2 linked regions of the Coturnix japonica genome follow. The protein of the gene in region 1 binds, or shares a complex with, the protein of each later gene. Links are inferred from orthologs where the notes say so. Each region holds a gene or a part of one and is shown in the gene's direction. Other genes may lie near its edges.

Region 1 (3,817 bases):
TCCTTTGAGCCATAGTCATCTTTGCATTTTTGGCTTAAACACAGAAATGCAGGAATGTTATTTTTTCTTACACAGTTACCTATTTTTCCTTAATGTTAGTGCATTGGCTAGCTAGAACACTGTTTATAAGCTGGAGAGTCTTCACACGTTATGCAAAGTTAAAATGACAAACAGCACAATGTTAGAAAACATGTAAAACTTGTTTCCTTATGAGACCAGTAAACCTATTGAATTATTTCAAGTATCAGAACAAAATACAGAATGTTTTTGGAGCATGCTGAAAATAACTTATAAATCAATGCATGCAGTTTTCTAAAGTGTTTCCTTATGACAAGACTTGGTAGTACTCGATGTCAGGAACCATGAGTGGAATGAATATAGGCCAGCAGTGATTTCTGCTGTGGTCCTGAAGCATATTGGATACAAAGACTGGCAGAATGAAAATCTTTTTACATAACAAGTACAGATGTTGAGTAATATCAGCTGGGAGTCTGGAGAGAAGGTGGAGAGGTGAGGTCCCTGGAAGTTGTAGAGGTTCAGTTAAGCAATAACCAGTTTCAGCAACAAAAATCAGCGTTGGTTTACAACGGATTATAGAAGCAAATAAGCCAGAAGTATTGGAGAAATCAGTTATGTTATTGCAGTGATTTCTTTGTGAGTTTTTAAAAAACACAATTGCAGCAAGAAAGAAGATACACCATGATTCATAGGGAAAAATCTCTTAGAAAGTAAGGTTTATATTTCTTACAGGTTGAAAAATTATTAGAAGGTTATCTTACAGAAGTTGGCATTACTGAAGAGAAATTTCAGGAAGCTTTTTCATCTCCTCTTGCAAAGACTCACACTTCTCAGGTATATTTTCCTTTGCTAAGGAATGCATAGATTTAATTTTTTAGCTTTGTCTTTCCACAGATGCATGTTTGAACATGCAAACAGATACACATTTGAAAAGCTTTCTTTTTAAAACTTCCATGTTCTAAAACCTAATGTATCTGTTTATATTATAAACTTTGACCGGCAAAATGTGTGTCTTTAAAACAGCAGCAGGTACTTGTGTGGAGTCGCTCTTTTGAGATTTGTCATCCATGCTTTGTACTATCTAAACCAAACCCCTAAGCTTAAAGGTATGCCCGCCACCTTTATTTGCAGATTTGTTAGCTTTATGGTAGCCTTCAGCCTGTTTATAGTAGCAGAAAAACTTTAAGATTAAAAAAAACAGACATAAAAGCAAAATGTGTTTTCCTCCAATTTTGTAAAAAATAAACAGTAAAATCTATAAGACAGAGATTACCCTGAGAAGACAAGGCATGATTCTGCACTGCTTAGCCTGCTGAAGGTTATCTTTAGGAACTGTCTCAGGTATATGGGGCAGAGAAGTGGGAGCTTCTCCTGCCAGTGTCAAGTTTGCTTTGTTGAAATATCTCCTCTAGCAAGATTTGTCAGAGTGCACATTCCTTGCTCAAGCTTACAGATTTGTTCTAGAAATCCAACAAACTGTGATTGTAAACTTACACTGGGTAACCCTCCAGGCTTTGTGATAATATTGTAGCCATGATGATGCAAGGAAATAAACCCTCAAATTGTTTTCTTGCCTGTAAACTCTACTTGTACAGCTAGAAAAAACAGACAGATAAAAGAATGAAATTTGATATAATTTCAAGCAAACCGAGAAGGTTTCGATTTCTGTAGCTTAATTAATTTGCGTGTATCTTCCTTCCCACAGGCCATTTTGCAAACAGTACTGGCAGCAGAAGATTTTAGACTATTTAAAAAAATGATGGTACAGAAAAATATGGAAATGCAGTTGCAAGCCATTAGAGTCATGAAAGAAAGAAATGGTAAGAAGTAGTAATGTGAGGTTTCTTTCTTTCTTTTTTTTCTTTTAAAAGACTGTGTAATACAGTTAGAAATGAAAACAGAATGCTGGTCTAGTTGAAGTTAAGGGAGAACAGTGAGCTGGTTTTAATGGGACCAGGAGTTCAATATTTAGTTTTTGGATTATATTCTCAGACACAGCAATTCATTATCCTCTTTAAAGTAGCAGATTGTGAACTCTATAAGATTTTGTGTGAAACTTGGTCTGTTTTTTGCTAGAGAATTTTATTGAGTGTTAATTGCATCAGCTCATCAGGAGCGAAGTGCCAATAGCTGAGCTGTGCTATTTGCAGAGTGGTGTTGGTGTACTGTCTCTCATGCCTACCACACTGTGAAAAAATCTATGGACAGAGCAGAAATTTGGTCTCTGTCATTGTAATAGATCAGTGCTGTTAGGAAAACATGTTTTACACTCAACTCTACTGCTCTGTTGATGTTTCTAGAAGTATTTTTATCCTCTCCTTCATTTAATCCATGTCTTCAGTGTTATTACTTTGCTTTGTCTTACCGTGCACATGTTTTTTCCAGAGAATAACTCTTAAATTTTAAGCTTGATGCAATACCTAGATTAGAAAATGGTTTGAATAACCATGGTTGATTTGTAGCCTGCAGGAAATACCATATAACAATCAATGCAGACTAAGCCTAATATTTTGCCCTCAGATATCAAAACATTTTTGTTTCAGAAACTTGTGCCTTTTTGTAACTTGGTGCTGAGGATGTGGAATCTTTTTTGTAAACAGTTTACAATAAGGAAGAATTAGGTATATTTTTTAGTTTCTCTCCTTTGCCGACAAGATTTATTTCTTATCTTTGGCTGAAGACTAATGCCAACGGAGTACAAAACAACATCCTTTAGAGTAATGCATACTTTTATATTTTTGGTAGGTGTGTTGCCTGACTGTTTGACAGAGGGTTCTGATGTATTCAGTGAAATTGAACAAGAAGAAATGAAAGTACTCAGGGAGGTTTTAAGGTAAAATAAGAAAACAGTCCTACTTTCCACCTTCCTTTAAAAGCAAAGGATATAGGATCTAATGCTTCTAGCCTTTTCTAAGAAACTGCTTTAAGATGGTATCAGAAAAATGAATTATACTAGACAGTGGATGTGATCAAAGGTATCTGAAGACATAAGAATTACCACTCTGCCATGATGGAACCATCTTAGTGATTTGTGGAATGATGTTCAACTTTAAAAGCCCCACTGGTTCCATTCTCCTCTGAATCACAAGGCAGAGCTGTGTTCAGTGACTCTGGTCAACAGAAGCACACTAGCTATAAGCTGTTCTGCGAGCACCCTAAACCCAGGTCTGGAGATATAAACCAACACTGCTTAAAGCAGCTTTATTACTCCTTAACAAGGGTACCATACTTCGTTCTGTGTCCTTTAAAACCTTGGAATGGCAAACTCTGCTTCTGCAGTAGTCTTTATTAGTTTCCACAGCTGCCTCCTTAGCTGTCTTTAATGACTCTGATTGTGATCTAAGATGCATGAGGACTGATACAACTTCTATAGATTCTCCTCCACTCCCGGTTCACCCATGTATAAAGACTCATGAACAAATAATAACATATTAACCCATTTGGGTTATATTAAATTATTTTGCCCTCTGTGTTCTGGAAGTACTTTTTCTTTAGCTGTCCAGAACATGCTGCTGTCACCACTGCTGAAACACATCATCAAGCACCTCACTGTGCTAATATCCAGTGCCTGGTCTCCGTAAACACTGAACAAGCATCTACAAATGTCAATGGGTGCAATTTTTTTTTTCTGCATAAAGGAATCTAACAACACACCTTCAGATGCTTCAGACAGCCACAAAGATTTTTAGGAGCACTGAACACAGGATCTTGTTCATTTCCAGTGAAAATGCTTAGTTAATAGTGATTGTGTTGAAAAATATTGTTTTGTAGCTAAGAATTTACTCTTATCAAATTGTGT
Region 2 (3,817 bases), on another chromosome or scaffold:
ACAGCCCTTCCTGGGAAGGGGGTAGAACGTGTGAATTTTAGAGTTCCTGCTCTCATGGGGAGCTGAGCTCTGTGTATTTAAAGGCCAACAAATGCAGCCATAAATCTGACTGCAGGTGAAAAAACCTGCTGCAGCCCCACAGAGCCAGCTGTGGGCACCCGGCCTTGGCACGGGGTGTCACAGCCTGGGCTGCAGGCGGTGCATGAGGGCATTGACCACCAGCAAGCAGAGCCTGCTCCCCATTAGCACCTTGAGCTGGGCCTGGCCTCCCAGGTGTGTAGCAGCCTGTTTATGGCGCAGGTGATGCAGCCCAAGGGGCAGGGTAAGATTTCACTTCACGAACTTTCATTGCACGAGCTCTGAATTTCTGACCCTCAGCTTTCCACAAAAGTGCAGTCACAATGGCAGCCACGCAGCATTCTACAAATATCCATCAAACAGTTTCAGTAAGTTCCTCCTCTTCTTTTGCATCATGTATTTGTGAGCTTCATCTGCTACTTACATAGATAGCCAACAGATTACTTCCAAATCCAAAATGCTTGGAGGGCATGGATCAAATCTAACCTGTGTTTGGGTCTGGTGTATTTTCACACCGTGCAGTGAAAGCTTTGACATCATGACGGGTAGTGCCACGTCCTTTCCAAACTGCACTTTGTGCAGCAGCAGCACAGCAACTCTGCAGCCCTTCATCCTGAGGACAGGCTTCTGATTGCTGTGATCTGGAGGGGATGAGGAGCAACCTTCATGGCTCAGATAGTCCTCAGCTCCCAGCAGGAATATTTAGAGGGCGCAGTTCCTCTTAGCAACAAAGCACTTTGTGACATTTAGCTAATTTTGCCCTTGTTGTCTCTGTTTTGCAAATGGGAGAACAAAACTGCTCGAGAGGTGGGCCCCTGCAGCCCAGGCTTGTGCTGATATCTGAACTTCATTCTCATGATTGCCCTTCGAGGCATGGCAGTGGTCTGTGGGAGGCTGAGCAGGATCCCAAAGGCTCCAGAAGGAGCTGTGGGTGCATTTTTCCTAGGCAAACAAGTTTCAGGAGCATCCATGCATCTCAGCCCTTCTCCTGCGGGGCTGAGGTCCAGATGGAAGCAGGGTGATTTGCTCCTTGTGGTTGCACGTCAGGATCTGGACCATTTTCCATCCTTTTCAGAAAGGTGCAGGTCTCTGACAAAAGCTTGGGTGTGCTGCTGTAACGTGCACAGTTGTAAATGAGCTGACCTGCATATTCTGTTTCCTAATCCTGAGTGATACTGTCAGCTCAGAGAGCTGAGCCTGGCTAATGACTGAAATCCACTGTGCTTTTCTTAGCGAGGACGTGTGGTGATCTGAGATAGCTGTTAAGTGCTACATCCTGAGAATCAGAACTGCACGTGCCCCATGGGTCCAGCATGTTTTAGACAGATAAACGGGGTTTGAGATGATCAGGGAGTTACTATGAAAAGAACTGATGTCAGGTGTGCCGTAACCTACAGCTAACTAGGAGGGAGATTAAATTAATGGGGTTTTCCCTCTGATAAAGATAATGAAGAGCTCGCAAGGACTTGGTTTGCAGCTCCTACATGTAATATCCTTAGGCACTGCCTTCCTGGCTTAGGCAGTGCCAAACAGCTGTGTGACATGAGCGATGCAGTCAGTGGCGCATCCCACTGAGTGGCATTTGTGCTGCCTGAGACCTCACTGATGCTCTTGGAGATGAAGGAGAATTGCAGGGAGGGGGAAGAGTAGGAAAGGAAGAGGGTAGGGGTTCAGTCTGTCCTGGGATCCAGCACTGAACAGAAGCTGTTTTAAGGGATGGGTCGCTCGGCCTGGTGGGGAAAGTCAGAGGGAAATAACAACTACAGTCTCTCTTGCTAATTTAGGGTTTACTGTCAATCCTGCGTAAACTGAAAAGCACCCCAGACCAGGAGGTGAGGATCCTCCTCTTGGGGCTGGATAATGCAGGCAAGACCACACTCCTGAAACAGCTGGCGTCTGAGGACATAAGCCACATCACACCAACACAGGTGAGGAAGGCCTTTTGTCTTACATCCAGCCAACTCCAAACATCCTGCATATTCCATCGTTCCCTCTCTGGTACCTCTGGCCCCCCTTCTTGGAGCATCAGGGTTGGGGAGATAGATGTCACCCATCAGAAATGCTGCAGCATTGCTCCTGTATTGACCAGAGGAGGTTGCTAGAGAGCTATGGGAGATGCTTCCCCCCACCCTGTAGCTGCCTTGCAAAGCTCCCAGCCCCAACACCCTAATTCCAAGTCCCAGTCCCCTGAGTGTTGCGGCAGCACGTTGCCAGCCCACGCCACATCCTGTTTTTCTACTTGAATGCCCTTTCAGTTGGTGCTTTAATTGATGAAATGGACCCTTCAGACATGCAGCTGTTGCTCTTTTAAGCCTGGCATTAGTTGCGTTGTGTCGAATTGAGCTGAGACCTCTGGCTTCACGTGAGCTGGGACTCTCTACTCAGCTTTCACAAGCTCAGTCCTGCTTCTCACAGTGCCCTTGTTTTCTCCTTATCTGCAGCTCTCCCACCTCTTCCTGCACCCACCCTGCTGAGCCTTTCCAGGGTACTAACTGCATCATATGTTTCCGTAGCCATGACAGCATCAACCCTTGGCCCAGGAACACAGGCCAGCTGATGGTTTAGTGGCTGTTCATTTTCACCAGTGCCTCTCCCGCAGCCGATCCATCTTTATGGCTGCCTGGCCCATCTCACAGCATGGTGCAGGCATGGGATATATAGGGTGCTAATGTCTGCCTGTGAATCTGATCCAGCCATTCAGGTTTATGCTCTATGTGCCTTTGTTTCTGCTCTTTCCAGGGCTTTAACATCAAAAGCGTACAGTCTCAAGGCTTCAAGCTGAACGTATGGGACATAGGCGGACAGAGGAAGATCAGGCCGTACTGGAGGAACTATTTTGAAAACACTGATATCCTTGTAAGTATTGGTTGCAGTTGAATGTTATCTTCATGTAATCCATGGTCTTGGCCAGAAAGGAACAAGTAGTGTAATGTCCCAGTTCTCAGCAACACCATTGCCATCATAACAGGAGTTATTCCAAGTGAAATGGCAAGATTGGTTGGGTACGCTAAGAAAAATACAGTGATGTTTGGAGAAGCCATTCAGTTGTATGTTTTTGCTTCCACGGGATGGTGCTGGCTGTGGCCAGTTCCTTTCTTCTCATCTCAGGCTCTTTCAAAAAAGCAAACATCAATAACCTGTAGTTTGCCCATCTATGGCTCTTTTCACTGGAGACTCCGAAAGCCTGTCATGGGTATGAGCGATTTAAACCTCATGTAGGTCAGTATGGAGCCTTTTTCACAGTTGGGGAAACCGAGGCACAGAAGAGTTAAACGTTGTGTCTGGCATCAGACAAGAAGGCTTCTGGCTGAGGGACACAGAGAGACCCCTTGTCTTTTCCTTTGGTCCTTTCATCATTACACTGTCCTTTAATGTTTTTGACATCTTAGCTGCAGTTACCTTACAATTAGCTACAGTTGACTACCATTATAATTACACTGTGGGACCATGCCAGAGCACGTTACCCTGGGACCTTCTAAGTGCTATCCTGACTAGTTTCAAAGAGCACCTCTAACATGCAGCCACACGTGGCAGGATGGAGACAGTCTGGGGGCTTCATGCCCACCCCCCTGCTAAGCACTGTTGCCAGTGGGAGCAGAGAAAAAGCCATTCTAAGCAAGGTCTGCAGGCTCCCATGGGAAAGCAGGAAGCTCTCTCTGAAAGACGCCCTTCCTCCCTTCTGTCTCACACACACATACATACTCACTGACTTGCTGGGAGCTTCAGTTCATTTCCACAG

The links.
Region 2: the proteins of CFAP36 (region 1) and ARL3 are in contact, whole or in part, in a crystal structure (PDB 4ZI3), measured with the Mus musculus proteins. The link is inferred for Coturnix japonica from reciprocal best matches to the Homo sapiens genes CFAP36 and ARL3. Residues at the interface, in NP_080016.1 of Mus musculus: Glu44, Glu45, Ser46, Lys47, Leu48, Thr51, Glu52, Lys58, Val61, Glu62, Leu65, Glu76, Phe79, Gln80, Cys83, Thr84, Ala88, Lys89, Leu97, Val100, Leu101, Ala103, Glu104, Asp105, Phe106, Thr107, Ile108; in NP_062692.1 of Mus musculus: Leu3, Leu4, Ile6, Leu7, Arg8, Lys9, Leu10, Lys11, Ser12, Arg19, Lys35, Glu40, Pro47, Thr48, Gln49, Gly50, Phe51, Asn52, Ile53, Lys54, Trp66, Ile74, Tyr77, Ser80, Tyr81.

Annotation. Positions count from the first base shown.
Region 1 is NC_029518.1:7,373,842-7,377,658, reverse strand, and holds part of CFAP36 (cilia- and flagella-associated protein 36), read left to right. Parts: intron 1-750; coding exon 751-852; intron 853-1,723; coding exon 1,724-1,838; intron 1,839-2,763; coding exon 2,764-2,851; intron 2,852-3,817. UniProt on the Homo sapiens protein: May act as an effector for ARL3.
Region 2 is NC_029521.1:20,414,766-20,418,582, reverse strand, and holds part of ARL3 (ADP-ribosylation factor-like protein 3), read left to right. Parts: intron 1-1,862; coding exon 1,863-2,006; intron 2,007-2,817; coding exon 2,818-2,934; intron 2,935-3,317; exon of another isoform or gene 3,318-3,817. UniProt on the Homo sapiens protein: Small GTP-binding protein which cycles between an inactive GDP-bound and an active GTP-bound form, and the rate of cycling is regulated by guanine nucleotide exchange factors (GEF) and GTPase-activating proteins (GAP).